Linked DNA regions of Mus musculus: regions 1, 2 and 4 are each reported to be linked to region 3. Evidence: microRNA targets listed by miRTarBase, many of them from high-throughput screens and not tested one by one. Region 3 holds a microRNA gene; each other region holds the end of a gene's coding sequence.

Region 1 (8,217 bases), not on the chromosome of region 3:
CTAGGCACTGTGTCCAAATAGTACAACCAACTGGAGACCGAGGGCTCAAATACATGAGCCCATGGCAAACATTTCTCATTCAAACCAACACATCACTGTAGCCCCAAGTTTGGGATAAAGCCCCATTGCTGTTATTGGCTTTAGTGATGGGCCTGTAGGTACAAGACGTTGAAGGCTGGTATGTTTCTATGATAAGTGTGTCTGGGTTGGTTTCCTAGTATTCCCAAGTGAGACCCTCTATATCGTTTCAGTTGCATATAGATTGGTCTTTATAACACAGAATGTTGACTGGCTGTTTACAGCTCACACCAGGATGAATCACGCCAGGTGTTACAGGGGAGCCGTGTACAGGGAAGACAAAAATAATTTGGGTATATTACAAAATGTTTGTAAAACTCACAGAACATGGGGCTGGAGAGATGGCTCAGAGGTTAAGAGCTCTGGCTTTTCTTCCAGAGGACCCAAATTTGGTCCTGGAACATTTATGTCAGGTGTCTCATAACTTCAGCTCCAAGGAGACACCTTCTGGCCCCCATGGGTATCCATAAACACCTGGCATTAATACACAGACCTACCCATTTACATGAATAAAAATTAAATGAACAAAAATCTTAATAGCAAAAACCTCTCATGGGCTGGAGAGATGTCCCAGCTACTAAAGCCTGATACTCATGACCAGAAGCTAAGCTGGGTGGGTGGGTGGGGATGGGCCTTAGTGAAAGAGCATTTGGGTATCACAGTCAAGGCCCTGGGTTCAGTGTCTAAGCAGGGGAAGGGAGCGGGAAAGCCCACTTAGTTGACTTGACCTTTGATCTTTTAGAAGCCAAAGTGGGACTTGCACTGGTCAGTCTTGCAGCTTGCTAGCAGGTGGAGTTGGTAGTCTCCCTCTCTGTCTGGGATGAGGGTGTTTCCCAGTCCCACCCCGAAAGGTGGCTGTGGTTGTTGTCCCTGTTGACGGCTAATGGGCTAATGGCGTCTGTTGGCTTCCTCAGGTGACGTGCTGGTGGTTCCTATCAAGCTGCACAGGTGTCCCTTCTGCCCTTACACCGCCAAGCAGAAAGGCATCCTCAAACGGCACATCCGCTCCCACACTGGCGAACGGCCGTACCCCTGCGAGACCTGTGGCAAGAGGTTCACCCGGCAGGAGCACCTTCGGAGTCACGCCCTGAGCGTGAGTGTCAGGGACGTCGCTGTAAGGGCTGTGCCTGTCTCCTAGTGTGAGGGTGGGACTGTCTGTCACTGCTCTCTCATCTAGAGATTTTTTTTTAAGAGAAGTTTGTGAAGTTTTCTCTTACCAGGTTAAAGCCAAGCTGGCGGCACTTAGAAAGTTAATGCTAGCCAGGTGTGGTGGCGCACACCTTTAATCCCAGTACTCCAGAGGCAGAGGCAGGAGGATTTCTGAGTTTGAGGCCAGCCTGGTCTACAGAGTGAGTTCCAGGACAGCCAGGGCTATACAGAGAAATCCTGTCTCGGAAAAAAAAAAGAAAAAAGAAAAAAGTTAATGCCGGTGTGCGAACAGGCCAGTTTTCCAAGAAGCCTAGCTTTTGTTCAAGGATGGCCGTCATGAGGCCAGAATTGGCAGGGCCAGCAGACTGTGAGTTTCTTCCCCTGGTAAGGACGTAGAGTAAGCTGTATCCCCAGTTTCCCACCAGAACTGATACCCTGAGGCAGGAGAGTAACTTGCCTCCGTTTGCACAGCAAGTACTGCTAGCTGCTAAGTCACCTCTCCAGCCTTTTCTTTGACCTTTACGGTGTCCCCTTGTGCTGGCAGGTCCACAGATCCAGCCGTCCAATTATCTGCAAAGGCTGTCGACGAACCTTTACGAGCCACCTGTCCCAAGGACTGCGGCGCTTCGGGCTGTGTGACAGTTGCACCTGTGTCACAGACCCCCAGGAGGAAGAGGACGACCTGATGCCTGTCAACCTTAGCCTGGTGGAGGCTTCATCTGAAAGCCACGAGAAGAGTGACACAGATGACTGGCCCATCTACATAGAGTCTGGTGAGGAGAATGACCCAACCGCGGAGGATTCTGACGACAAGCCACACATTCGGCCCAACTTACCAGCCCCAGAGACACTTACGTAGCAGTGACTCGGTGGGAAGGTTTTAAGTGTTGTGGCTTGTTCTACTGTGAAAGCTACCATTTGTCGAGTTCTGTGAGACTTGGGGATCATCTCCCCACAGTGTCGTTACACTTGGATTTTTTTGTTAGACGAAGGCTGGATGTTGTGACTCAAAAAGACTGATGACGTTTTAGCATGGAGTCTTGAGAGTTTTGTTGACGTCTCCTTGGTACTGACTGAATTGAGATTGAGCCCCGAGACTTCCTAATTTTCCTGCTGAGAAGCTGACTCTGGGCCGGAGATAAATAAGAAAACCTCCCAGCTTAGCACTATGCTGGTCTTTTACGTTCTTACATCATTACAGTCTTCTGAAGAGGTGGCAAGAGTATGTTGTCAGAACCTCTGTCTCTCCCCTGCCAGGCTTCTTGAAATGAACTCCACATTTAATTTTCTGGGAATCTGCTTCGATAAAAAGCAGGCGGGGCTAACTACGTGGTCATAAAAGGTACTCCCTAAATCTAAGACTATATGCCTAAAGGCTGGAGGAAGCTTTATGCAGACAAACACTGACACAAATTGCAAGTTTATTCTGGGCCCGCTGCTTGCCCACCTAGATTGAGTTAAGTTAAATGAGCCCCCAGAGAAGAGCCAGTGAGCCAGGGCAGAGTACTGTCCCCGTCTACTCTGCTATTTGACAATTCCGTACACACAAATCCCCTATTCTCAGATTATAAAGCAAGTCGTTTGGGCAAAAATCAAAAGGCTGCTTAGTCATTTCCCAGACATGCAACCTGGATATGCACACCCTCGTGACATTCCTGGGCATGCATGTCCCGCCTGACATCCTGCCACCTAGTTTATGCCCAGACTTGAACTGCAGGGGAGACATGCATGCCTAACTAACATTCAGGTTTTAGAAGACCACCTAGAAGGAAGGAGCTGGGTAGAACAGGTTTCAAGCCGGTCTGCTTTTCACCCACTCTGCAGCCAGGTCACAACTGTAGCAAAGCAAGTCGAGTGTCTCTAAAGTATGAAAGGACAGGAAAGACCATGGATGAATGGTGCACTAGAAGGTAGCTTGCAGACTTTTCTTAAAAGCATCTGAAGTGGACTTTAAAAGAAATCCCTTGTCTTCCTTTACTTTTAACACAGTTTCAAACAGCAGTGAAATCACCAGGTCTCTCTGCCTCTTGAACAATACCTAGTGAGAATCATTTATAAACTGCCTTGTATGTATTGTCTTGTCATTAAAGAGTGGAAGCTTTTGTTGGTTTGCTTGTATTTTGAGACAGGGTTTCTCTGGGGGGGGCCTTGGTTGCTGTGGAACCTGCTTATGTAGACCAGGCTGGCCTTGAACTCCTGAAGTTCTGACTGCCTCTGCCTCCCAAGGGCTGGGATTAAAGGCATGCGCCACCTCCCCTGGCAGGACTAGGGTTACAGCTCCTTGTCTGTCATTAGGAAGTCCCTGGGTCCAATCTCTAGTACTGCAATAAACAAATACCTAAATTTGTGTTGTCTGCAAGAAAAAAAAAGCCTTTTTTTTTTTTTTAAAGGAAGAAAGACGGCATGAGGGTTGGAGAGGTGGCTCAATGGTTAAGATCATTGGCTGCTCTTCCAGAGGACCTTGGTTCAATTCCCAGCACCCACATGGCAGCTCACAATTGTCTCTAACTCCAGTTCTGGGGATCTGACACCCTCACACCAATGCACATAAAATACAATAAAATAAATTATTTTAAAATTGTCAACTTTATAAAAAAGAAAGAAAGGAAGAAAGGAAGGAAGGAAGGAAGAAAAGAAAGATCTTTTAGTTTTCATAGTAGTAGGTGTTATATCCTGGACCTTGTCCATGCTGGGCAAGTACTCTCTACTGACTTAGTCCCCACCCGTGGATGGAAAGATATTTCAGTTGTACTTTAACAATTGTACCTGAGACTCTGATGACACTTTTACATTACTGTGATGCCCGCATTCTGTTAGACTTTGTTTCCTTGAACAAGGCATGGGCCATCTGAGGTGTAGTTACCTAGACAGCCACATCATAGAAAGACTGATACCACACAGGCCTAAGTGACATATGCCTTTATTAATCCCAGCACTTGGGAGGCAGAGGCAGGCAGATCTCTGAGTTCAAGGCCAGCCTGGTCTACAAAGTGAGTTCCAGGACAGCCAGGGATATAAAAACAATAGTACCAAGGTTGAGAAATTCTAGATATAAAGTGGGGTTTTGAATGATGTTAATTTTGGGTTCTGCTTCTGAGTCCAGATGTTTCACAGTTTGCCCAATGCCTAGTGTAGGTGTTATGACATAGAAACTTAGAAATCCTACCAGGTATGGTAGGAAACAACTGGAATCCCAGCACTAGGGAAGAGGAGGGCAGAGGATCAGGAATTCAAGGTCAGTCTCAGCTACAAAGCAAGTTCAAGGCCAGGGTGGGATACTTAAGAAGTTGTATTGGCAGGGATGATGGTGCACACCTTTAACTGGAGGTCCAGCTGTGCTCAGCACTCCAGAGGCAGAAAGAAGCAGGGGGCTCTCTGTGAGTTGGAAGTCAGCCTGGTTTACATAACAAGTTCCAGGCCAGCGAGGGCCTGTCTGAAATAAATAAATAAATAAATAAATAAATAAATAAATAAATGAAGTAGAAATGAATGAATGAATGAATAAATAAATAAATAAATAAAGTAGAAATGAATGAATGAATGAATGAATGAATGAATAAATAAATAATAAAAATGAAAAGCTAGAGAGATGGTATAGGCTTAGGTTTTTCAAAACCTATTTTAATAAGGGTATTTTAATAAGGGTACTCAAACGTTTCGCCTCCCCTTCTAGCCCACCAAAGGTAGGGGAGAAAAGAAGGTGATAGGACAAGGGTATGTGTGCCTGTTTAGAACTAGTTCTTTCGGGTGATTCCAATTCCCATTGTCAGGATACCAGTCCAAAAGTGTCAGAAGTGGCACAATCCAGCAGAAACTGCCAGGCCTCTGCTGAATCGGCAGGAGTCATTGGAAGCAACCGGGACCAGCTGGGATGCCATCTTTCTCTCAATAAAGGGAAGATTAGTGAAGATGCAATGCCAAGGGAGTGTTTGTTGCATGAGTGTAGCTGTGCAAGCACTTTGTCTCCTCCATTGAGTCCTATTTATATTCTCTCCAAACATCATGTGTCCTCTCCTGGGTCTTGCCTCAGCAAAATATCACGTGAGGCTGCATCACATGACACAACCAGAAATTTCTACTTCATAATGGTGTGGTGGTTAAGAGCTCTTATTGCTCTCACAGAGGACCCAAGTTCAGTTCCCAGCATCCCAGCTGCTTGAAACTGCAGCCCTAGGAATAGCTGATGCCTCTGACCTCCGTGGTCACCTGCACTCTCAGATGTACACACTCACACCCAGGATATGAAGATCTAAGAGAAAGCTTGAAAGAAACTGACTCTGACCCTGGTTTACATGCCCAGGGTCATCCTCCCCTGACTCTGGGTTCTTCTTGTTTGTTTCTGTTTATTGATTTAAGAGCCTCACTGTTTGACTCACCTCAGCCAGGACTCAGTATTAACCAGGCTGACCTCGAACTCAGAGAGACCTGTTTGCCTCTGCCTCCTGGGTGCTGACATAAACCACCAGACATGGCCATTTTTGTTACACGAGCAGAATCTTGGGAGGAAGACGGCTGTGAAGCCCAGAGTGTGTCTTGTGTTAACACCCCGTGATGTCTCAGACTGCTCATTCCTAGGTGACTATTTGGAGTTTGTCAATGCACATTATACTAACGGAGTTGCTGTATTCTGTTATTTTTAAAAAAGAGCTACTTCTTTGGTGTAGACTGTCAGATCATGGACTGGTCCCCTTTTAAATGGGCTTTCACATTTGATGGTCAGTAATTATCCTAGTATCTTCAAGGCTTAACTCACGGTGTTAATAGTTTAAAGGATGTTATGGGTGGGTTCTGGGGATTGAAACTAGGGCCTCTCACATGCTAAGCAGGTCAAACCTGCAGCCCATGGTGATTTATTTTTTATTTTTTATTTTTGCAAGACAGAGCTTCTTTGTATGGCCCTGGCTGTCTGTGGTGACATTTTTATAAGTAAATTTGCAATTGGGCACAACATTGACCGTACATGATTGAGTTTATAGTATTTCATCTTTCTGGCACATTCAGTCTAAGTTCACCAAAAAATATTTTTGTCTCAGAAGATATAGTGCATGGATGGGTCCAAGATACAAACTTGAGATGAGACTCAAAAATGCATAGTTATGAAGCTGGTTCCTTTGAAGGAGGAGGCAGCTCTTCTCAAGGGTTGAGAAGAAATGTAAATGATACTTATGATTTGTAGTTAAGAAATGACTCTGATGCCTGATACACTTAAACATACCAGCCTTTAATCCCAGCATTCAGAGGTAGGCAGATCTCTGTAGTTCATGCTACTTGAAGGTTCTCTTGCATGCTACCAGAGAAGGAAATCACCAGTGTCTCCCAGCTACAAACTCTGCAACCTACAACAGTGACAACGTATACTGATGCAAGGTAGCACAAATGTTGCAGGAGTAACCAACCACTCTGACAGGATTTAAGGACCACTCGAAGAAATGGAACCCATACCCATACGTGAAATTGCTAAAGTGACCAGTGGCCAGGAACCTGAGATTAGATCATGGTCCTAGGGGAAAAACCTACATAGGCAGTTTAAACTAGCCAGTACTATATAGGAAAACCCTGACTCAGAAGGAAAGAGGAAAAGAAGAAATTACTCTGAGCATGATTTCTGATCATTTGGAAGATACTATTCTGATGTCAAGTGGTCCTGGTTCAATCCTTAGTATCAGATGGAAGGAAAGATAGAAAGAATGCAAGAGAGGAATTGGGAGAGGGAGAGGGAGAGGGAGAGGGAGAGGGAGAGGGAGAGATCCCTGGTGTTAGGGTGAGAATTATGTGCTCTTGTGGACAGTTGGTAGTAACAAGCTTGGGGGTTTTGCAGGGAGGCATCCATTTCAATTACACACCTTGAAGACGTGGAATGGGTATGAAATATCTGCCTGACACCTGAATGGGACCCATAGCTTGGCAGCAGGTCAGAACCAGTTAATATGCACCTGTGAGATCCCTGAAGCACTCGGCATAGCTCAGATGCAAAACAGATCTCACAAGCATGGAATATGGCTTGGATTTTATGTCATCTATACAACCTCAGACATAGCTTCCAGGGCCTCAGTAAGACATGCCTGTTTCAAAAGCCACAGTCCTCAGGAAATCTCAGAGCTGTGGCTCCATTAAGGTATATATAGTTCTGTCATCCAAGGTGTAGTTTACCATTTAGAGGTAATTTCTACCATATATAATGTTGCCTAGCAACATAGTAAATGTATGACTCTTATCATGTTGTCAGGGGAACAGAGCTAGAAAAGTTAACTAAAGATCAACATATCATACCAAGATCAAATAAATTATTTTTATTTATTTAATGATATATGAAGTAATTGCACAATAGATATCCCACTTAATTCTTTTCTTTTTTTTCCTTTCTTTTTTTTTTTTTTTGTTTGTTTGTTTGTTCTTTTTGAGACAGGGTTTCTCTGTATAGCCCTGGCTGTCCTGGAACTCACTCTGTAGACCAGGCTGACCTTGAACACAGAAATCCACCTGCTTCTGCCTCCCAAGTGCTGGGATTAAAGGTGTGCACCACCACTGCCTGGCACACTTAATTCTTTTTTTTTTTTTTTAAGATTTATTTATTTATTATATGTAAGTACACTGTAGCTGTCTTCAGACACTCCAGAAGAGGGAGTCAGATCTTGTTACAGATGGTTGTGAGCCACCATGTGGTTGCTGGGATTTGAACTCCAGACCTTCGGAAGAGCAGTCGGGTGCTCTTACCCACTGAGCCATCTCACCAGCCCCCTAATTCTTTTTTAACAAGTTTTTTAAAGATATATTTATTTTATATATGTGAATACACTGTAGCTGTCTTCAGACATACCAGAAGAGAACATCAGATCCCATTACAGATGGCTGTGAGCCACCTGTGGGTACTGGGATTTGAACTCAGGACCTCTGGGAGAGGAGTCAGTGCTCTTAACCAGTGAGACATCTCTCCAGCCCCTCCTCCTAATTCTTATAACCTGAGCAATTTCCTATTAAAATAGAGCCATC
Region 2 (8,217 bases), not on the chromosome of region 3:
ACTTTTTTTTTTTTTAAGTTTTCCAGAGAATTTCTGAAGGTCAAGTTGAAACTTTTGGCAGAGATGCAGATGGATGAAAATTCTGTGGGACCTGATGGAGCGTAGTCTGTGCTAGTTGTATAGAGCTGGGGTGGAAAAGAACTGGGGTAGATACTCAACCACAGCCCACAATTCCAGCACCAGCACACAGCTGAGAAACACTGTAACCCTTTATCACCAACTCACCCCTCTGCCTCCTTTTCCTCTTCCTCCTTCTCTGTATTATTATTATTATTACTACTATTATTTATTATTACATTATTACTTTGATGGTTCCAGAGATAGAATGCATGCTAGGCACATATTCTGCCTTGGGCGACATGCCTCACCCCTTACAATTATTTATACACATACATGTGTATTTTTGTCCCTAGATATTCTTTTCTGAGCAAAACTAGGGCATAATTCTCCTGAGGTAGCTGAGGGTGAGAAGAAACAGTGTAGTTAATTCATACCTAAGTCAGGCCTCCCCACAGCCCTCCTCCATACTGGCAATATCAAGCAGGTGGGCGAGCCCAGATGAGGTTCCTCAGTGAGGTGTGAAGACAGCAGTCCTTCCCTGCATTTCTTGCCTACACTATAGCATGCTCCATGGTGGACACAGCCATCTTGTTATATCTTCTCTAAACATGAAGTAGTCTTTTAAACATAATATAATTGTCCTTTTTCCGAAAGGAAACTTCTGGAAAAGCATAACTTTGCATACTTGCATGAAAGATAATCTCAGATAACTTAGTCCAAAGCACATTACTTAGCAACGGGCTGGACTAGCAGTCATCAGCAGTATCCATCTGGATGTGGCTTCTGGCAGAGCAGGCTTGCTGGGGCCACAAGTACCTCGGCTTGCCACCCATCCTCAGGTTTCTAGATTACTCAGGTCTCTGTCGCACAAGGATCATTACCTGTCGGTGGTGGAGAATGGTAACTGCGTCTCCTCAATGACTGTAGAGCCACACTTCTGAGGACAGGAAGTGTATTAGAGACAAACAGTTCTTTAAAACCAAACAGTAAGCGTCAGGGACGAAGATTGTGATCTAGTAAATTTGGGCTCCAATAAGGAGGTGCAGAGAGCCATATCTCTCTGGGAGTTTGTCTCATTGAAGGGGGTTCAGTTTTTTGGCCCTCAGGGTCTTTCAATAGCATATCTCTGCATGACCTACTGGCATGGTCTGTTGTCCGTTACTTTGGTACCTCCCATAGATGATAGTTAAAGGCAGGTTGGGTAGGGACTATTTTTGTTTCTGCTTCTCTCTGTAGACTTAAATGCCAGCAGCGTGTGCAGGCATAGAGGAGTACTGAACAATAAGGAGTGCTGTAGTGTGTGAGTGTTTGGGACTACAGGAGGAAGACAATGAATTAAATAAAAATAGAAGAGCTAAGTTCAGATCGGAAATATTCCAGAGTTTGTTTTTGTTTTTTTGTAGTGTGTTTTTTCCTGGATGTCAAGAGATAGTGGGACTGAGTCTCAAAAACCAACACACATCAGTATGCTAAGTTTGGAGCCACACTAACTGGTCAGATTGGTGGAGGGGTGGGGGGAACATAACTTGAAAAATACCAGTAGATTTTTTTTAATTTAATTTTTACTTTATTTTGTGTACTGGATACTAAAATTTCAAGACCGACATGGTTTTCACAACTGCACAGTATTTTCATCTAGTAACCAAGTACTTCCATATAGTCAACTCCATCGACCGGAACGTAAATACTCAAAAACAACAAAGAAAATACCAAAAATCAATGGCTTGATTTAGAGAGAGCTTTGTCTTCACTGTGTGTGTGTGAATGGGACATGCAATCTTTCTTCCGCTTTTAATGAATTAAGACGTGCATGTCAGTTGGTCAGAGGGCCCCACTGACCTGCCTGCCTTCTTGCTGCTGGGTTCTGAGGGAGGCTGCACCTCGCTGCCAGCCTCGTGTGTGCCAGCAGGAGCAGCACAGCATGCTTATCTCCTGTCAGGCTCATCGTTATAGTCAGCCATCCGCTGAGGAAGGAGGGACTTACAGAGTCTCGGGAGCCTCTGAATGTGGTTTCTCACTCTCCTCCTCTTTCCTGTAGCTGCTATCTGAGATCCTTTTATACCGTGTATCTCTCAAACACTTCCATCTTGGGTACCGTTTTAGTCCTGACTGTCAGCACTTGGATGAAGTGTGCTAATTGCTTTTAGAGTAAGGCTTACATTGAAAAGATTTAAGTATTGTGCTATATTTTAAAGTATTCTTATTGTGTAATAGAAAATATACTGTCAACCCTCCATCACATCACCCATTGAAATTAAAAATACATACACACACATACTTATATGGGTTTAGAGAGATGGCTCAGTGGTTAAGGTTAAGAACACTGTCTATTCTTGCAGAGGACCTGGGTTCAGCTCCTAGCACTCACATGGTGGTTCACAGCCATCTGGATCCAGGGATCCAATGCCCTCTTCTGTGCTCCATGAACACCAGGCCCACATGTTGTACACACATGGGCATGCAGGCAGACACTCATACACATAAAATAAGTCTTTACGTTCAGGAGAATACTGTTAATATATAAACTGTTTGCACAATAGAAAAAGTTCCAGGACAAGAAAGCGGTAGAGAAGCAAAAACCGTTAAAGATGGTTTTAAAAGTGTGACTAAGTATATGTTTGTGTGTGTGTCTGTTTGTCTGTCTTCTCCTGCAGGGAAGACTTCCCGTGCCTAAGGAAGTGAACCGAAAGAAGATGGAGGAGACTGGCGCTGCCTCGCTGACTCCGCCAGGCAGCCGTGAATTCACCTCTCCAGCTACCAGTTACCTCCACCCTTTTTAATCGTCCCACCTCCATTTGTATTGCATATGGTGTATGGGGTTTTGATGAGGTCTTGGTATCATATATGGGATTTTTTTTTTTTCTGTGTAAATCATCAACTATAAGAAGAAACTATGGGACTCTAAGCCTGGCTTTAGAGAATTTACAGTGGACAAATAGGTTTCATCAAACCAGTTTTTAATCATTCTGACTCAAGTGAAAACGCTCAGAATTTCACACTGTGAATCCACGTTTACAACCCCTACAGGTGGGCCTTCAGGCCTGGTTCGCTACAACAATGTCTTCCACAACTCAAAACTCCTACTGCGCTCAGATGACTGGTCCACTCCTGCCTTTCATCAGACAGCTCCCGACTGCTTCTTGCAGAGGCTGAGAGTCCCCCCCACGGTTTTTTTTTTTCTTCATTTAGATGTAACAAGCCTAGTAGTTTATGTTCATCAATTGTCTGTATATCTATATTTTACCCATGTACTCTTTTGATGTATAGAAGTAGTTTGAAACTCATTGTTTCCTTGTGGTAAGTGACTGAGACGCTGCCACAGGGCCTGAGACACTGATGAATGGTGCTATTTTGGACTTTCAACATGCTCCTTGGCGAGGTAGCTCTGGTGGAGTTGTTTTTATTTCCATGTTCTAAGAAGGTGTCGGTACTTTGTTTCCTGGAATGTTCTTCTCTAGACTGGACTGACTTGTTTCCCTTGTGTCTTGAGTGTGGCTTTCTTCTTCAGGGTTGTAGGTTGAGTGGATGCTACCAAGAGTGTGAGAGGCTGTCCTCTCGTGACTGGCCCTGGTGGATGTGCAGTCACGGTAGCGGGAGCAATCACAAAACTGTAATTGACCTACCAGATCTCTTCCTTTCTGCAGCCTCACCTGCCTGACTTAGAAAAAGAAAAGCAATAATTTTTTTCCAGGCGTTCTGAGGTTATCTCTTTGGATTCTTTTTGTTTGACTAGATATTGGGGGAGGGGGGATAAAAGTCCACTCTTTTAATAAGTGCCATGTGGGAAAAAAAATCCAAAGTGCTGGCATTTGAGTAGGAATTTGAAAATTATCCCTTTCCCAAAGTTGAAATTGGAAAAATGTCTTTACAAAATAGTGATGATGAAGGTGATGACTATGATAGTGATGACGATGTTGTTGTTGTTGTTGGTGGTGGTGGTGATGATGGTGATGGTGGTGAAAGGCAAAATACCTTTTTGGGGTGGTTTTGATAAGCAAGGTGTAGATTTTACATTTTTGTCCTTGCTCCCAATGAAATGGATAAACAAAAATAAAATCTGACAATGCCATCTCCTCACAGAATGTTGTTGTGTTAGCCAGACTGAAAGCCCACCTTAATTTTTATATAACGTCTTTGGCTCTTCCTTTGACAGGGCAGGCCTTGTTCTGAACTGTTTGCGCTTCTGACTGTTAAACACCAATGATGCATGCACTGTCCCTCTTCACTCTTTCTCTCGCTTCCCCTCTGGCTTGAGTTTCTTGTGCATTCTCGCTACCCCCACCTCTGTTAGGGTAGGTATATCAGCTATGTAAATAAAGCAAGGAAACGGTATTGTGCATTTGTGGCATTATGTAGAATTGCAGTGTGCGCTGCCGAAAATGCAGGCTTTTGTAACGTGGTCCTCTCATAAGTACCCAATGTATTTTAGCTATTTTAGTAGGATTTGTTCAATAAATATGCAAGCTATAAGGTAACTGTGCTTTGGCTCATTATTGTAGGGTCGGTCGGTCTTTTTTAACACCTCTGTCGATTCATACCACGTTTTGTGTTCCCAGGATCCCTCAGGTCAGACAGGCCAAGTGTCAGAAGGGTGAAGCAGATTTGCCTTTTGAAAATTTTCTCTCTTGAGGGCTTTAAGAGATTAAGGGAGAGGTAGGGGCTCATTAAGATGGTGTTAACAGCATTGCCCTGGTCACAAAGGAGAGGTAAATGCAAATCCTCCACTTCTCCTTAGGGCATTCCCACTCACCTCGAGACGCACGTTCCCACTCACCTCGAGACGCACATTCCCACACACCTCGAGACGCACGTTCTCATACACCGCAAGACGCACATTCTCACATACCTCAAGATGCATGTTCTCACACTCCCTTACCAGCAAGACCCACTCTGGGAAAGGTTGGCACCTCCACACAGACAAAAGACTCACATTTGTAAGAGGATCCAATTCTGAGATAGGCGTTGAAGCCATTGGTGTGCAGGCATGCAGTCACCCAGACCCCTGTGGGTGATGAATTGCCATCATCAAAGCCTTTTGGAAGTCTCAAGTGACTCTGAAAACTGGAATTTGGGGACCCATGCTCCATGTAGATAGACCCATGCGCTGCTGTAGATAGAATCTATGATTGACACATGCAAGGCGAGCTACTCTATAACTGAATTTTATGGTCAAACCCTCTTTGATATATTCTTTAGGAAGGGCAGGTGTGTGAGTACATCTCAGTTCTGAACAGAGACCTATGACTAGAGGATCTGAGGTTCTCAGCCAACAGCCAAGGGCGTGGGCATGGCTCTCCAGCTGCGGCCTCGGCATTGAATGTTTGACTGACGTCTTGACTGTTGAGAAACTCCTGCTGCATTCCTCATTCAGCCATCGTGGGACTGAAACGTCACCTTGACTTATGCAAGAGTTTCAAAATCAGCTGGTGGAGTATAAACACTGAGACACCTCACCAGAGGGTAAAGAACATAATTCTGAAATAAAAGCCAGAGAGAGAGAGAGAGAGAGAGAGAGAGAGAGAGAGAGAGTGAGTTAGGGGTGGGGTAGAACAGAGAAGCTTACCAGCCACACTCTGGGAGTGTGTCCTCCTCAATATGGGGGACAGAAGATGCTTTCTTGCTTTCTGGAAGATCCTCATTCCTAATTGTGCATGTCAAGAGGTATCTTATAAATTGGGAGGATGTTGAGTTTAATTCAAAATTAATGCACATTCCAGGTGAGATACTGGCACCTGTATACACACCCAGAGATTAATGCCTCTGAATACATGGGAAGGTCTCCTATTATTTGATTATCTTTTTACTTATGAGGAATCCTAATTTTCCTCACTCAACAACCTCCCTTTGCTTGGAGAGACATTGCAGCTATGGGGGATACACTCTACTTGGAGGGGCATTACAGATATGGGAGATACACACTGCTTGGAGGAGCATCACGGGTATGGGGGATACACTCTGCTTGGAGGAGTGTAACAGCTATGGGGGATACACTCTGCTTGGAGGAGTGTAACAGCTATGGGGGATACACTCTGCTTGGAGGATTGTAACAGCTATGGGGGATACACTCTGCTTGGAGGGGCATCACGGATATGGGGGATACACTCTGCTTGGAGGGGCATAATGGGTATGGGGGATACACTCTGTTTTATTGCCTTACTAAATTAAGACTTGCTAAATTATGAAAAGATCATGAGATGGGACAATCGGTGGCATTTCTCTGTTATTTTATTTCCATCCATCTTAATTATCAATTGCTCCTAAAGAGATTGAAACCACGTTTTACATATTGAAAACATATTTTTTCTTATCCCACAGGTTCTATGGGTCAGGAATTCTGGAGTAGTGCGGCTGGTGGTTATTATACGCCTTTGCAGCCAAGATGTCAAACAGGCCTAGAGCCATCTGATATTCTTGCTGGGGTTAGAAAGCTGTGCCCACATCCTTGGATGTTGGCTGGGCACCTCAGCCCCTCTGTTCATTGGTCTCTCTGCAGAACTGAGATGTCCCCATAACTTCTGCCTTCCTAAAGAATATATCAAGAGAGGCTTGGGAATATAATTCAGTTGGTAGAGTAGCTTGCCTCAAATCCACCAAATCTTGGCTTTTATCTAAAATATGTGTGTGTGTGTGTGTGTGTGTGTGTGTGTGTGTGTGTGTACATATCTAGGAACAAGCCCAGGTACATATGATCTAGTCTCAAACCTCACCGTTGTGCTGGAATGGTGGCTTACACCTATAATCACAGAAACGAAGGAGTCTAAGGCTAAAGGGTTGCCATCAGTTTGAGGCCAGCACATTTTGCATAGTGAGTTCTAGGCCATCCTTCCTCTATAGTGTGAGACCAGAAAAGAACAAGAAGGGAACTAGAAAAGAAAGCAAGCTAGCCAACAAACAAAAATCCCCAAACCAACTACTATCATATTCTGTTCAGGTAAACCAGCTACTAAATATAGCCTTATGACATACTCTACAAGGTAGAAAAGCAAGTTTTAGTTCTTGAAGTGGGGAAAACTAAAGAATTTGGAGACATGATTTTGAAATAATATATCAGTCTCTATTTAGTAAAAGAACTCAGGGTTTGTTGTAGGCTAAGGGATAAATTATAAGAATAACTGAAACCTGGAATAGCAGATGCTTCTTTTAAGTCACAGTTCCCGGAGCCCCACAGAGCATGGCTCTGAAGAAGGTTCTAGAACAAACCCAGAGCATCAGGGCTTTCATTTACTAACTAAAGTGCTCTTAGCCCTGCAAGCAACAATTACTGGCAGTTGTAAAAACAGAGGTTGGAATACATGATATTTACAGTTCTGAGAAAAATCGGTGGTGTTCCACAGGGGTTACTGAGGACGGCTCATTCAGTTTCCATAAAGGTGAAAATGATGGGTGATTGACCCTGCACTCCACTATAAACTCACGGAAATCATGCCAGGAGCAGCCATGGGCCTGTTAATGGTTAATACCTGCTGTGGCAAAGTTGAGCATTTGAAGGCCGGATGAATCTGAAGGCTAGTTGGAGTCAAACAGGAGCCTCAGTTTTTGATTAAAGACTTTGTTCTCTCACCAGAAACAAAAAAGTATTACCATATTGTATTGGGGTGCAGATGGGCAACCAACAACTAAGGACCAGATAGACCCTATTGACCTCTTTAGTTTGTTTACAGTGTGGTTTTAAGAATGGTGATTAGTTACCAGGGCTTACAAAGATGGAAGCACTCCACATGAATGTGTGGGTGGGAAAATGGAAACTGTACACTAGGAGAGTGGAGTTAAATAGCAGACTCTATCTTCAGATGACGGGTGCCTCCTTCCTCCTATGACCCTTACCACCCCTGTTCTTGCTCCCTGCTTCATCCAGGAAAGGTGGCTTGCACTGCTAATCCTGTGGGTATAGGGAGTAGCCACGAACCTGTTTTACTAACAAAGGGCCAGGCAACTTACCAAAGCTTTGTGTTTGACAGTGGAACTACTTACAGTAGCACTAACTTCAGGCTGGAAACAAGCTCCTCCCACAGCCTGCCTGCTGGACCATCTGTGTCTCCCCAGCCCTCTTTGGAAATGTTCAGTAACCCCCCTCCAAGCACTGAAATCCTATGACTTAAGGAGGAAAAGGGTGGTGGATTGGTTTGGGTGAGGCTATGTACGAGCAGAAGAGATTCT
Region 3 (8,217 bases):
CATATACAATTCCTGCATATAGAAATCACAGTCTGCTGGCGTGCTTCTTCTCAACAAGGCCCCGCCCATTTCAAGTCTCCTTTTATGTGTTTCGTCTTTCGTTTAGTTGGAGTTTCTTGACTAAGCATGGGCGGGAGGTCATTCCCTGGAGTAAGGGCAACTTACCAGTGGCAGTATACCCATGAAAAAAATGATTCCCCCTCCCTAGAGCAACTATTAATGTCCAATAGTCCCTCAAAGAAGGGTGTGGTCTCAGGATCCCCTCTCCTACCAGTGATGGCATACTGAGGGCCCCACTCTCGTGCAGATAACCACTGTTGCAGAGTCCCGAGTATAATGTCAGTGCATGTTCAGAGCCATCTTTCTACTGCACATCTCCACCCTCTGGCTCTTGCTTTCTTTGTGCTTTCTCTTCTGTGTTGTTTCTTTTAGCCTTGGAAACAAATGGGAAAATGTTGACCTCTACATTTTATAAGTGCTTAATGGCTAACTCTTTCTACCAGCACCTTTTACGGAGGAAAATATTCCACCAATATCGCTGAGCATCAACTAGTGAATTTGTTTTTTAACATGTATTTTATTTTATTAAATAAATCGAAGCATAAATTTAAAAATTGTTTCCCAGTAACTAAAACAAATTGGGGAAGTTAAAAAATCCTGACTTTTGATTTTTTTAGAGATACAACCTGTAAGAGGTTAAAATATGTTAGTGGGTCCATGTGGCATTTTTATTTTTATTTCCATATTAAGCTTCAATAATCAAAACCATTGTGGTTATTATTTATTATCTGCCTAAAGAAAACATTGCTTGTGTTGGCATAAATATAAAAAAAATTCAGTTTAATCACCATTTAAAAGTAGCAAAATGGACTTAAAACATATTATAAAATTCTCAAAATAAGTTCTGAAATACAAAGTTTAGGTCATGAGTTATGACAGTACCATTCAAAGTGTCTAGTAAAAATTGTCTGTCATAGAGAAGCTTTGCTTCTCTATAAAATAAATCTTATTTTTTCTCTTAAAGAAGTAAGAAAGTTACTCATGTTCCATGAGTTAACACCATTATGTCCACATAAGAAGTGTGAGAGTAGACAATGGTTAAGGTGATGGATGGCCTTTGAGTGGAGCCCTGACCCAGAGCCCTACTAGCTTTTCATAGCACTCTCTGCCTACCAGTGGAAGTCATGGCTCTACTTGTTGTAAATGATAAAGTTTTAGCGATATTAATCACTACTTCCCTCACATTTAAGAAACAGATTTTATTTTTTATTGCCTCTCTGTGTGTATGTATGTATGTGTGTGTGTGTGTGCATGTGTGCATGCATGTATGTATGTATATGCAAGTTCGTTTAGAGGGCAGAAGGCCTTGGATCCCTTGGAGCAGGAGTTAGAGATGGTTGTGAGCCTCCCAATATGGGTGCTAGTAACCTAACTAGGGTCCTCTGTAAGAGCAGTGTGTGCTCTCAACTACTCAGCTATCTTTCCAGCACCTTCTTTGACAACTCGGATTAACACATTTAATTCTGGATTTAATTTCACTGTCATTTCTCAATGCCTGTTCTGTGCTTGTGTTGTTTTTGCCCTATAGGATTAACCAGTTCCTTGAGCTCGGGACTCTGGATTGGACTCAACAGTCTGAGTGTACGCAGTGGTTGGCAGTGGGCTGGAGGAAGCCCATTCCGGTATCTGAACTGGCTACCAGGTAAGCATGCCTGAGTATTACTGGCTGAGTGGAATTCACTGAGATATCTTAAAGGTCTTCCTCATGTTACATATTGGTTTCAAAAAGTCTTAATGGAACATAGCTCATTTTCCATCATGCTTTGGAATCTGCAACCTGGATTTGATTATTCTAAAGTACAAGTTTACACAGGGCCAGCTTCCTGGGATAAGGACTTGTTTCCCAGGATAATCGCGACAGTCAATACTCATTCTGTTTGATGTCTACACTCTCTAAGTAGTTTATGAAGGTTTTACATTCAAAAGCATATTTTATAGCTATTTTTAAGTATGATTAAAGATAATAGAATTAGTACTAATATGTATTTTGCGTTGTTTTAACTTTGCCATTGTCCTTGAAACAACTATTGTAAAGTTTAAGTGTTCTACTTTTTGTATGACTATTGTTCTCCCAAAATTTTGGGATTCTCTTGTCCTACCTGAATTTTAAAAATTCAGTTAAAATGTGTTTATAGGTAAGATACATAAATATTTCTTATATATGCAATGCTATATACGCATCAATAATCTAACACACTTGGGTGGATACTAAGGACAGAACCTAGGGCCTTGTGCATGTTAGACAACCACTGAGCTATGTCCTCAGCCCTCTATATACTTTTAATTTGACAGTTATTACATAGACTGGCCTTGAATTTTCTCTACTTCAGGAAGACCTTGAACTTGGGAGCCTTCCTCCTCAGCCTCCTGAGTAGCTGGGATTTTCAGTCCTGTGTCTTGAGGCCTGACTTTGCACATATGTTCATATCTAGTAATATCTATAAATACACATTATAAGTTTAAGAGAAATGAATATTCTGTGTTGGTGGTGAATTTGTGTTAGGTGGTGAATATTGTCTTAGGTCATGAGATATTTTTAATATTACTGTAATCTTAAAGCCTATGGTAATACTGTTATGGTTGTTTATAATATAATAGAGTTGAATTAAAATACTGTCTCAACCACAAATTATAAAATTCTATGCTAGGATAAACATTTATTAACAATTTTATTGACAATATACAGTTTGATCATAAAAGAGAGAGTCAGAGAATACTCTTCTTCTAATTATCTGGAAGTTAGAAAAGGCATTCCCATTTTGTCATACTTTCATGTTGTGTGTGTGTGTTGTTTTGTTCTTTCTTTGTTATCACTTCCATGTTGTTCCACCATACAAGATGACAGAACACAAAAGGAGACAGATGGCTGTATATAAGTTGTACATATTAAGCAATTCTTCAGAGAAACATAAAGATCAGTTCTGAAATGTTTTCATCTGTTGAGTAGTAGGATGAGTTGTTAATACTCAAGTGGTATTAAGTGTGATTCTAGTCTCTCTAACTATAGCACACTACCAAGCCTGGCTTATTGCAGAAGAGTACAGTTAATGATTAGTGATTCCTGCCATGGAGCAGGAAATAAGTGTGTATTAGTCATGTTTTATCAGCTTTGCTGCAGACACTATTGAGACTGTATTTAAAAAGCTGAGGTTTCCCCCTTCCCTCCTCCCCTTTCCCTTCCTCCTCTTCTCCCTATAACCCCACTCTCAACCTAGTTTCCTTCATTGGCCAGATTATCTCAAGCAAGTGATCCTTATGCTTCTGCCTTCTGAGTATTGGGACCAACCACAAATATGCAAGCCATGCCTTTTTTTTCACAATTCTTTTCCTCCCTCCCTCCCTCCCTCCCTCCCTCCCTCCCTCCCTCCCTCCCTCCCTCCCCCCCTTCCTTTTTGAGCCATTAAATACCTTAAAAAAAAGCATTTGGCTTAAATATGTTAAGTTTTCTGTTTCATACCTTGACTTTTACTTTTAAGATGAAAAAGATAAAATAGTATTTTAAAAAGTGTTTAAACAAGGGAGAGAATTTTAGAGACTCAACATTTAGGGTTATGTGTTTATTTAAGTTAATTAGGCTTCAGAAATCTCAGGGAAAGAGCACTCATTTGGCATGCACAAAATTTTGGGCCCAGTGAACAGTGTTGCAAAAAAATATATGTTGGTACTGATTATATTTCACCATGAAATTCCACTCAACATGTTCGCTCACTGCCTGATGAGCATAGGGCTGTTATGTGAATTGTTTTGTACTAGAAATCATGACCGGTTAATCTACTTCGGAGCTATCTCCAGCCCCATGACTTGAGTCTTGAAATGATAATCTGTTTTATTTTCTTCTGAAATATGGGAAGTAACTGAAAGTGCATATGAATATAGATGCCCTTTCTTCATAAGATGATATTGTCTGCTGCTCTTGGGCTCAAGGGAGGTTAGAGAATTGCAGCGGGACTCAGAAGCTTCAGACAGTGGTGATTATATGGTAGGGGACTACAGTCCATTCTTGTCTTTAGTAGTTAAAAGTACTCCACGTCATAAAATAGTTCATTTTCTCTATTATTCACTTGGGTACAACCCCTTGTGGTCTTAGATCTCACTGAAAAAAACCCTGGGTATTAACTTTAGAAAAGGTGTAATAGGAATGGAAAATGCCTTACATGTTTCCAGAAAATAGATTCAACACTAACCTTCTTAAATAATGTGAGAATTTTATGAAATTAAAATAAGAATATTTAAACTATTTTTGTATAAATTACTTAGTTGATTGTTTCATTAAACGTTTACTAAGTGATTCATGTTCTAAAACACATATGGAGTGCAATCAAGAATACTTTATGTGAATGATGAAGAAATATAAATTCAACTATATAATAGTCACCAGATTAGTAAAGACCTCCAACTGCTATCTCAAGGTCGGTAGAGGTGTTGTATTGATAAATGAATATATAATATGATTTACCAAAGAGCACAGTATTTAAGACCAGTATGTATTAAATGTGATATTGTTTCTTGAAAGTTTTTTTCCACAATGATACAGAATCTTGGCCATATTATCAGAAGATTAAAAAAAAACATCTTTATATGTATTTTGGGGGTTTTTACTTTGTGTAGTATTTATACAACCTGGAAAATGTTTGTGTTAAAGACTTCCAAGGGCTGGTGACATGATTTCCTTTTTCTGAGGAAAGTGAAATTTTGGTGCATAATGAACATCCACCAAAGGTCACAAATTAGCTGTGTGTGTAGCTAATTTGTCAGACTTAGGTATGAGATGAAGTTACTTTCTGGGAAACTGGGGTTGAAATGATAAATCAGAGACTGTAGGGATTGGTTACCCTTGTAGTAGACAAATGACTCATCTGAGAATGTAGGGATGGACACATGTATCTATAGCAGTAAATAAATGACACATCAGAGGATATAGGGATGGATTCATGTATCCATTATAGTAGACAAATGATACATTAGAGGATGTAGATGGATGCATGTATGCATTGCAGTAGACAAATCATACATTGGAGGATATAGTGATAGATGTATGTATCCACTGTAGTAGGAGGATGTATTGATAGACTGTAGTGATAGGGTCATATATCCAAAGGTGTCAACCCAGTCAGGTATTTTTAACCAGCTTCCTGTAAGAAATGAATGAGGAGATAGCTCCAAAGGTTTTTCTTCAATGAATCCAACAAAATGTGCTAAGAATCTTAGTTCTGGGAGTGTAGGACATTGGTTTCCAGATCTGTTTCACTGTGTTTATCCCTTGCATTTTCTTCTCTTCAGTTAGCTTCAAGTAGTTTTGAGCGTTACTATTGACATTAATATAGCCATCTTGGGACAGTGTACATTATTTTTATTCAGCCATTCTATATATGATACCATATATAGATACATGATATCATATATCATCACAGTTGTTTAAAGTTTAAGGTCTAATGCTATCCATTGTTCTAGGTGGTTATTTCAAACCACTCTGCTGTGAACTCAACATTTTAAGCCTTGGAATAAGCCAGCAACAAGTAACCAAATAGATACCCACCATGCCTTTTGCTCTGCACTCAGTAAATAATAATTTGTGAATGTGTAGCAAAAGACAGGATGGGGATCCATTAAATCCCAAGGATGACGACGTAAGGTGTGGTGGTTGGCAGAGGATGGAAGCCATCCACTTAGGAGACTGTGGTATTCCCAATTTAACTTTGTAATTTGCTTAAAGGAAGTCCATCATCAGAGCCTGGAAAGAGCTGTGTGTCACTAAACCCTGGAAAAAATGCCAAGTGGGAAAATCTGGAATGTGTTCAGAAGCTTGGCTACATTTGTAAAAAGGGAAACAATACCTTGAACCCATTTATCATTCCCTCAGGTAAGAGGATCTCTATGATCTAATGTGTACTCAATCAAAACTGAATGACATGATTCTAGAGAGATTATTAATTATTTACAGATTAATAACATGATATGTCTTCAAAAGTCCATTTCTTTGGTCCTACTGTCTGGTAATGTTTCCTGAACATATAGGATGGAACATAGGGCCCCCAGTGTAGGAGCTAAAGAAAGTACCCAAGGAGCTGAAGGGGTCTGCAACCCTATAGGTGGAACAACAATATGAACTAACCAGTACCCCCCCGGAGCTCATGTCTCTAGCTGCATATGTAGCAGAAGATGGCCTAGTCGGCCATCAGTGGAAAGAGAGGCCCCTAGGTCTTGCAAACTCTATATGCCCCAGTACAGGGGAACGCCAGGGCCAAGAAGTGGGAGTGGGTGGGTAGGGGAGCAGGGCAGGGGGAGGGTATAGGGAACTTTCGGGATAGCATTTGAAATGTAAATAAAGAAGATATCTAATAATAAAAAAAAAGAATTTTATATCTCCAGTCTTGTAAAGTAGGTATTATTTCTCCTATTACATGTTATAGGAAAGGAAAGAGAAATTCATAGGATATATAGTCTCTGTATACCCAACAAAACTGGAATTAAGACTAGGAAGTAAATATCTGGAGGGAAAGACTTTATTTAGTGATCACTGGTAGATGTGTATGGGGACTTTGGTACATTATCCATGATGGATGTAAATTAGATCCCTGGTTCATAATCTCTGATGGACATGATAGAGAGCCCTGGTTTATGAATTCTTATGGCTATGGGTGGAGGCCCCTGGTTCATGGTCTCAGTTCTACTTTACAGATTTTCTAGAGTGATTGTGCATGAACTTGTGGAGACCTCAATTGTTCTTGCAACTTGTCTCTTCTATTACTATTGCAAAAGGAATGGCTAAGTCTTTCTTGAAAGAATTCATATAGTTCTCTTTCAGAGACCTGCAGCAGTTACCACTTTGGGGAACTAGAGAAAAGTTATTTTTAAGTTTCTCTGGAATGAAAGGCACAATTCTATAATTTGGCCTTATTGCTTAATCCACCAGTTTTAAGTTCCTTGTTTGTAAAATATGAATGTTAGTAACTCTTCTTCTTTAAAATCTCGTTATATCATCAAGCTTGTATTGTTAAATCCACTATTGCCCCTGATTCACTTGTGCAGCTACACTAGCATTGGCCTTTGCATTGTTATCCTGACAAGATTATTCTGCTGTGCAGACAAACCCCTCTAAGTAGAGATTTAAATTTGTAGCATTTTTTCCAGTGCGATGGCACACACCTTTAATCCTAGCATGTAGGAGGCAGAGACATGCGAATCTCTGAGTTCAAGGCTGGGCTAGTCTGCAGAATAAGTTCCAGCTCCCCTTCTTGGAGCCCCTGCACCTGTTAAAAAGTTGCTGCATTCCCGGTTGGTGGCCCCTCTTGGCAAGCATCCAGTCTTGTACCCTTCAGTCCTTGCCATAGTCCCTGTGTGTCCGTAGTTCCCCCAGCTCCAGAGCCATAATATGCATCTTTGTGGCTACTAACCATAGGTCTTTGGTTGAATGAAACATGTCTAGTGTGAACTGAGATTTGCTGCCCATGTAAAATACATGTTGGATTTCCAAAACTTTAGCATGGGAATAAATGGAAAATCTTGTTTTAGTTGATCACGTATCAAAATGATAATAGTTTGGATATACCGAATGTACTTTTTTTCTATCTACTACAGCTAGTAGCAAATCTAAAATGATGCCTGTGGCTTACATTGCTAGCTACACTGTGGACAGTGATGGTCCCCTTCAAAAACAAAGAATCTTTTGTGCTTTTGTGTCCCAAGCCTCTCCCTTTGTTTCATTTGTGTTGGTTATTTTCTGTTTTCATACTTTGTGTTTTCCTCTGCTGGGCATTGATCATAGGACCTCGTGCATGATAGACAAACATTCTGCCACAGGGCTAGAGCCACAGCAGATGACAAGCATTCTGCCACAGGGCTAGAGCCACAGAAGATGTGTTTTTAAATGCTTCTCAGGCTCATCAGTTTCCTAGAAAGAAAAATTAAACATCCCACAGAAGGGATCTAGACTATGCTAACCTTTCTGTTTCTCTCCTTCCCTTCCCTTACCTCCCCTCCACTCTCTTCTTTCCTCTTCTCCCCTTCCCTCTCTTCCCCTCTCCTCCCATCCTCTCCTCCTCCCTCCACCCCCTCTTCCCATCTCATCCCAACTCCCTTCCTCTCTTCTTTCCTCTTCTCCCCACCTCTCCTTTTCCCTCCCCTCCTCTCACCTCTCCTCCTCTCTCCTCTTCTCCT
Region 4 (7,823 bases), not on the chromosome of region 3:
AAAGAAACAAGCACACTTCATATCTGGAAAGGAAAAAGGAAACATGTTTGTTTAAGGATACCAGGATTGTGCACAGAAAAAATTCTAACATACACAAACACATAAGCTATTAACTAACAGATAAGTTTCATTCACAGAGCTGCAGGATACAAGAACAAAATAAAAATTAACTGTATTTCTGTAAGTTAGCAATAAATAATCTAAATACAGAATTCTGAGAACCGTCACATTTATAAAAGCATTAAAGCATGTAGGAATACATTTTTTAATATAAGCGACCTATAAAAAACTGTAAAATACTAAAAATAAACGACAGCTCAATTAACTAGAATGCTATCAGAAGTTCATGAATCCTAACCTGCCTTCAGGTTCCTCCTGTCCTGCTTGAATTGAGTCCTTGTCCTGACTTCCTTTGATGATGAACTGTGATCTGGAAGGGTAAGCCAAATAAACCCTTCCCTCCCCAAGCTTCGCCACAGTTATGGCAAACCCTAGTATGACAGTGGTCAAGGCTCCCAGTGGCTAACAATTAAAAGAGTCAAGGACAATGAAAGTCCCAAATGCAAACAACGAAGCCGACGTTACCTCACAGCACAATTAATTAAAAATGGATCAAAGCTGTACATGTCAGAGCTAAAAGTATACAATTCTCAGAAGAAAGCTGACTGTAGTGGCACACTCATAGCACTTGGAAAGCAGAGGCAGGTGGATCTCTGTTAGCTGGAGGCTAGCCTGGTCTACAGAGTGAGTTCCAAGGCAGTTAGGACTGCATAGAGACTCTATTTCAAAAAAATACAACAAAAACAAAAATTTCAAAAAAAAAAACCTATGAGTAAATCAGTGTGCCTTGAAGTTAAGCAATATGTGTGTTTATATGTATATAATTAGTGTATACATTAGAAATTATATCAATAGCACAAGAAACAAAATAAAAATATAAATGAACTTTACTAAAATGAAAACCTTTGGGGCCAGTGAGATGGCTCAGTGAGCAAAGGCACTTGCTGTTAAGCCTTCCCATTTGAGTTCAATCCTAGGACCTGTACGGTGGAAAGAGCAAATAGATTCTTGAAGGCCATCTTCTGACTTCCTTAAATGAGCACGCACAGGCACACGCGCACGCGCGTGCGCGCGCACACACACACACACACACAAACACTGTAATTTTAAAAGATTAACAACTTTGAAGGGCACTATCAAGGTGAAAAGACGAGAAAACATCTCCAATTCATTTAAGGATGCAGTGTTTAGAACATATATAAAACCTCTTACAAGACAACTAATTGAAAATGAGAAGTTATTTGAACACATATAAGTGGCTAATAAACACAAACACTACCATTAGTCACTAGAAAAATGAAAATCAAAACCATAAAGTAATACTTTCCACTAAGATTGTTAATATTAAAAAAAAAAGAAAGAAAAAAAGTAACAAGATGAGAGTCTAGAAAGATAGTTCCCGAGGTCTCAGGTTCAATTCCCAGCACATACAAAGCAGCTACCAACTGTAACTCCAGTTCCAGGCCATTTGACTCCTCTCTTCTGGCCTCTGTAGGTACCAGGATAGAAACATGGTTTAGACACATATGTGCAGGCAAAACACCCATACACATAATTTTTTTGAAATTCTTTTTTTAAAAAACCCACACCCATACACACTTTTTCCTAAGGAGCCAAGGACGGTGACGTACACATTTCATACACTGCCAGCGATACAGACAGGTGGGTCTATGCTGGGCTCGAGGCCACCCTAGACTACCCAGCAAGTTCTAGATCAGTCAGAACTACAGCTGCACAGTGAGCCCTTGTCTGGGAAACCAAACAAAAATAGGATAAAAGGAGGAAACGACGGCCCTAGCCTTCACGACTTGGGAGCTGAGTCCAGTGCTCTGGGTGTGAACTTCCCTCATTGCTAAAGATACTGAATACTTTTTAAAACCATTTTTTTTTCTGAGAAAGTCTAGATCTACATAACTCTTTAAAGTAGGTTATTTTGGTTTTTCTGTATATCCTGGATATTAATTGTCTACCAGATAAGGTCTTATCTCACCCTGTGAGCTTATTTTTGGTTTCCTTTGCAGTACAGAAGCTTTGTGGTTTTATAAGATCCTATTCATAAATTGTTGGTCTTAATTCCTGAGCAAAGGGAGCCCTATCCAGAGAGTTCCCTACAGCTCTAACCTGGAGGATGTGGACTATGCTTTCTTCAGCCATCTCAAAGTTTCAGGTTTCGTACTGAGGTCTTGATCCATTTGGAGCTCATTTTTGTGCATGGGGATGGACATGGGTCTAATTTCATTCTTGTTCATGTGGGCGTCCAGTTTTCCAGTCCTTGTCTGCTGAAGATGCTGTCCTTTCTCTAGTGTGTATTTTTGGGACCTCTGTTTGATATTAGCTGGCTGTAGTCATGTGCACTCATGTTTGAGTCTGTTTTGTTCCATGGACGCACATCTGCTTTTGTGCCAGTACAAGACTATTTTCATTGCTCTATCTTTGTAATACAGCTCGAAATGTGGGATTTCTTCATACTTTTCATCTAGGATGATCTTAGTTGTGGGCTTGTCATATATATCTTTTATTATAATCATAATAAATCTTTTTATTATTAATATTTCATTACAAAGCCATTTGGGTGGTGGTGCAGGCCTTGATTCTGAGCACTTAGGAGTCAGGAAAGCAGATCGCTGAGTTTGGGGCCAGCCTGGTCTACAGTGAGTTCAAGGACAGCCAGGGCTACACAGAGAAAACCTGTCTCAAAATAACAACAGCAGCAATAACAAAAGGAAAAGTTTTATTACAAAAAAACTTATAAAAAACATCATACAGTGAAATTAACCAGACCCAAAGTTTATCCATCTCAATGAAAGCTGTGGAGCTTCACACTGGATTCCACTTTCACCATCAAATATTGTTTTATGCACTTAACCACACACACAAAAGAGGTAAAACTAGAAAGAAGAGTTAACTGTCTTCTTTCATGACTCAAGTGTTCGTCACCTACATCCAGTCCTTTCTTGGGTGAACTAATATGGCTATACTCGGCTTGCAGTGTTTTATTAGATTTTTGCATCTATGTCCATCAGAGATATTTGCCTATATCAGAGATATTGTTGTTGTTGCCTACATGGTTTTTGGCATTAAAAATGTTCCTTCTGGTTTTTTGTTTATTTTTTAGTATTGGCTGTAGGTCTGTGAAAATCTGGTGGAATTTTCCTGTGAATCTATCTGGGCCTGGGTTTTTTTTTTTTTTTTTTTACTGTTCCAATCTCCTTCCTTGTGACAGGTCTGCTTAGGAGGCACTGGTGGTATAATGTTATAGGTCTGTTTAGGTTGTCACTTTCTTAAACTTTGGTAGTTTGGATTACTCTAGAAATCCATCCATTCCTTTTTTAAATTAAAATTCATGAATGTTTTGCTTGCATGTGTGTGCACCACATGCGTGCCTTGTGCACTTCTTCTAGTTTCTAACTTAATGGAGACTAGGTTTTTAAAGTACTCCTCTACAGGACTGGATTTCATTGGTGCCATGATGGTTCCAGTTCAACTTGAATTCTATTCCTTTGAATCACGTCTTTATTTTTGTTTATTTTGATTTTGGTTAGCTGGATAGCTAGAATCTGCCAATGGCTTGTCAAAGAACCAGCTCTTAGATTCATTGATATTTTTTTTCTTCCAATTTCATTAATTTATGTTGTTTTTACTAGGTATTCCACTCTACTCAATTTAGACTTGTTCCTGTTTTTACAAATCATTGAATTACATCATTAAGTCATTTATTTGTGCTTTTTCTGATTTTTAATAAGGTAGTTAGTGCCTCATAGGTTGCCATTCTATGTATCCAGAGGTTTTGTTGTTTTTAGTTGTATTTGACTTCAGGATTAAAACATTTTTTCTTGATTCTTTTTTGACCCATTCACTATTTAGTAATGTGTTGTTCAATCTTCATGAATTTATATAATTACCAGGAATTTGTTTGCTATTGATTTGAAGCTTTATTGCATTGTGGCTTGATAAAATATATTAAAATTTTTCAATTTTCTGAACTTAAGATATGTTTTGTGTCAAATTATGTGATCTAGTTTATTATTTTCATTTTTTGAGACAGGGTTTTTCTGGGTATCCTTGGCTATCTTAGAACCCATTCTGTAGACCACTCTGATCTCAAACTCAAGATTTGCTTGCCCCTGTCTCCTGAGTGCTTGAATTAAAGGTATGGACTACCACCTCCTGGCCAATATGATCTATTTTGGGTATTTGGCCTGCTGTGTAGAATGTATATTCTTTAGTGTTTGGGTCAAACATTTTGTACATATTTGTTAGCTCCATTTGCTGTATGACATCACTTAAATCTGATATCTCTATTCTTTTTTGTTGTTGCTGTTCAGATGGCCTGTATTCTGGATAAAGTGGGGTACAGAAATCACCCACTAATACGGAACTGGAGTAATCTGTGTCTTTAAGTTCAGTGGCATGTTTCTTATGAAATTGGGTGTTCTAGAGCTTGGTGCATACAGAACTGTAATGTATTCATGGTCAATTGTTCTCTTGATTAAAACAAAGACTCCTTGTCCTTAATTCCACCATTTGGAAGGAAGAAGCAGGCAGATCTTTGTGAGTTCAAGGCCCACCTGGTTTATATAGCAGGCTAGGACTGAGTAGGAAGACACAGTCTCAAAAAAAAAAAAAAAAAAAAAAAAGGTAGTGAGTGACACCTGCTTCCTTCCTCTTTGCACTTGCTTGGGATACTTTTTTCTATCCTTGTGCTTTAAGGTGGCCCCGATCTTTAAATCTTTGTTCTCAATCCATTCAACAAACCAGTGTTTCTTGACTGGGGAGCTAAGGATATTATTAAAACCTTGTTCTGGTTAAAGGTGTGTGCTGGCTCCTGGTTCTGGTTTAAGGTGTGTGCTGGCTCCTGGTTCTGGTTTAAGGTGTGTGCTGGCTCCTGGTTTGCTCTTTGCATTCATCCTCTTTTGTGCTTCAGCAATTACAGCTTCACTTGTCTTCCTTGTCCTTTTTCCTCTCTTCAGTCTAAAGAATTGCTTTTGGTATCCTCTCTAGGACCAGTTTGGTGGGCATGAATTCTTTTGGCGTGTTTATACCACAGAGCATTTTCCTCTTTCCTTCAACTATGGCAGGAAGTTATGCTGGGTACAGTACTGTAAGTTGGTATCCATGGTCTTTTAGACCTTGAAGTACCCTGGTCCAGACTCTTCTGCCTTTTACAACTTCCACTGGGAATCAGCTGTTGTTTTGATGGGTTTCCTTTACATGTTCCCTGTTCCTAGTCTCTCTAGGACTTTTATTATTTTATTATATTGGATTTTGTCAAAGGTGTTTTCTGCATCTATTGAGATAATCATGTGATTTTAAAAAAATCCTTAAGTAGACACTATTTAACAAAAGTCCATGTATACGAACAGGAAATCTCCTAAGTTGTGGCCAGGGAGTTAAGAGACTATCAAAATGACATAGGTGAATGTTGTTGCCCTTAGCTGCCTCCCAGAACATGACGGTGAGAATGACTGCTAAAGATAACAGCAACTGTCTTCATATGTGATGACAAAGAAGAGATCATGAATTTGAAAAAAGGGCATGGGAGAACCTGGAGAAGGCAGGAGAGGTGGAAATGATGTGAGCACAGTCCTCTTGTATAGAATTCTCAGAAAAGCAAAAGAAACAAAGACACCAGTGATGGCATGAAGCCCTCAGGAAGCAGAGCAGAGTGAGTGTAAATGGTGCAGCCACCATCCAACAGCTTAGCCCCTCACAAGGAGGTTACTATACGCATCGGTGATGTACAGAAACAGTTGTCCACACACAAAAAAGCACAGATATTCACGGTAGCCCTAAGGTAGGAACAGACCAAACATCAATAACAAATCCATGGAGACAGGCCATGGTGGCGCCTTTAGTCCCGGGGCTTGGGAGGCAGAAGCAGGAGGATCTCTGAATTGGAGGCCAGCGTGATCTACAAAATGAGTTACCGGACAGTCAGGGTTCCAAAGAGAGACCATGTCTCAAATGAGAGGGTGGGTGTGGCAATGACAAAATATGACTCCATTCACTGTGATTTTGTGTGTGTGTGTGTTTACCTATGTGTGGGCAGATGTCTATGGGCATATGTGAATTTTCATATTATAGGCCAAAGGTTGTAGTTGAGTGTTTCCCTTCACTGTTCTCCACTCTATTTACAGAGGCGGAGTCTCTTGCTGAATCCAGAATGCACTGATTTTGGCTAGTCTCCTTACTGAGTTTGCCCCAGAGATCCTGTCTCCTCTCACCAAGGGCAGGATTACAAGCAGATTACCATAACCACTTGACTTTTATATGGACTCAGTCCTCATAATTACATGCAAGTGCTTTACCTGCTGAGCCACCTCCCTTGTCCTCTGCTGAGGTCCGTGTGTGTAAGAAGCAGGACTGAAGGACTGCTATCACAACATGGAAGAAACTTCAAAGGCAAAGAAGCTGGAACAGAAGGGCATACTCAGCCAGGAGCCATCGTACACGCCCTTAATCTCAATACTGAAGAGGCAGAGGCAGGAGGATCTCTGAGTTGGAGACCAGCCTGGTCTACACTGTGGGCTCTAAGACTGCCAGAGCTACATAAAGAGACCACATCTCAAAACAAAAACAAAAGCCGCAGACCCAATTACTCTAAATGCATAGGCATGGAAAGAGAAAGCGGGCTTCGAGGTGGTCAGGCAGTTTGTCTGAACACTAAAGTTCTGGAAGCCAGTGGAGTCACTTGTTATACACTGTGCATAACCTGGGTGACTACATGGTATGTGAGTTAGGGCTCAACACACCTGGTCCAGAGTGGTGCCAGGAGCTGGACATGTGTATTAAACAGCATATGCATGAAAGGGTGGATTGCTGAAGGCATCATAAAGTACATAGCACCACTAGGGACACACTTACTGCCCAAGGGCTGGCCAGATGGAGTGCCTGCCCCTATCCAACTCCAATGCAGGTACGTCATCCTGAAGGGATATTTTTTTCCCTCAGAGACATACTCTGCTTATGTAAGTTTGGCTGGCTTAGAATTTACAACTTAGACTAGCTTAGCTGTTTGTTTGTTTTAAAGACAGGGTTTCTCTGTGTAGCCCTGGCTGTCCTGGAACTCACTCTGTAGAACAGCCTGGCCTCAAACTCAGAGATCCACCTGCCTTGCCTTCTGAGTGCTGGGATTAAAGATGTGCCTACCATGCCTGGCAACTAGGTTAGCTTTGAACTTGTATTGATCTTCCTGCCCTGCCTGTTAAGTGTAAAAATTACAGGTGTGCGTCACCTCATCTGGCTTTTTGTTCTTGTTTCTCAAGCAGTCTTGCTCTGTTATCCATACTGGCCTAGGATTCAGGTCCTGTTTATGTCCAAGTGCTGGGATTACAGGTGAGGTACCACATGTGTGGTTAAAATGGTTGGGAATCAAACCCTGGCCTCACCACTAAACCATATCCCCTGGCCTCCTGGAGAGTATTTTAATGCATCACTACATTGTTACATACAGAAAAAACAAGCTCTGATTCTACTCAGACTTAAGTCTATTCTCCTTCCTATCCTAGTAAGCTAACGAACGGAGAAGAGCTGACGGCCAAAGGGGACCACAGCATATTCAGCACACCCACACCCTTTTACTTCAGCGCATAATTAAATTGGTTTGCAAACTTCTCGTGTTTCTTCTGGTCCATCTGGTTCATGGCAGCAACTACTCTCTGCACGGCTGCCCTATGGAGAGAGAGCACAGTAAGAAGTGACAGGACTTGACAGACTTGACAGGACTCTGGAGTCCTAGTTTGGCTTGCTGCTTCTGGACCTCA

Evidence for each region. The annotated mature microRNA mmu-miR-511-5p reads AUGCCUUUUGCUCUGCACUCA and lies in region 3 at 5,598-5,618, shown strand. An mRNA with a match to its seed (bases 2 to 7 or 8) in the 3' UTR can be bound and repressed. Matches are read on the target gene's strand: a 7mer-m8 pairs with bases 2 to 8, a 7mer-A1 pairs with bases 2 to 7 and ends in A, and an 8mer does both.
Region 1: the mRNA of Zbtb8b is a reported target of mmu-miR-511-5p. Seed matches in the 3' UTR shown: 7mer-m8 at 3,464-3,470.
Region 2: the mRNA of Nrep is a reported target of mmu-miR-511-5p. Seed matches in the 3' UTR shown: 8mer at 4,020-4,027.
Region 4: miRTarBase lists Uvssa as a target of mmu-miR-511-5p. Seed matches in the 3' UTR shown: 7mer-A1 at 7,174-7,180 and 7mer-m8 at 5,217-5,223.

The regions. Positions count from the first base shown.
Region 1 is chr4:129,421,382-129,429,598 of GRCm38, reverse strand. Zbtb8b (zinc finger and BTB domain containing 8b) reads left to right here. Exons shown (of 4, transcript NM_153541.3): 3 at 993-1,171; 4 at 1,772-3,834. The coding sequence ends at 2,086. Among named protein-coding and RNA genes, the nearest start is that of Zbtb8b, 15 kb to the left of the region's middle.
Region 2 is chr18:33,433,337-33,441,553 of GRCm38, reverse strand. Nrep (neuronal regeneration related protein) reads left to right here. Exons shown (of 4, transcript NM_053078.4): 4 at 2,715-4,535. The coding sequence ends at 2,840. Among named protein-coding and RNA genes, the nearest start is that of Nrep, 26 kb to the left of the region's middle.
Region 3 is chr2:14,255,416-14,263,632 of GRCm38, forward strand. Mir511 (microRNA 511) reads left to right here and starts at 5,588; the gene lies at 5,588-5,666. It overlaps Mrc1 (mannose receptor, C type 1), which reads left to right. Exons shown (of 30, transcript NM_008625.2): 5 at 1,589-1,702; 6 at 5,774-5,920.
Region 4 is chr5:33,414,706-33,422,528 of GRCm38, reverse strand. Uvssa (UV stimulated scaffold protein A) reads right to left here. Exons shown (of 14, transcript NM_001081101.2): 14 at 2,775-7,731. The coding sequence ends at 7,638. Among named protein-coding and RNA genes, the nearest start is that of Nkx1-1, 15 kb to the left of the region's middle.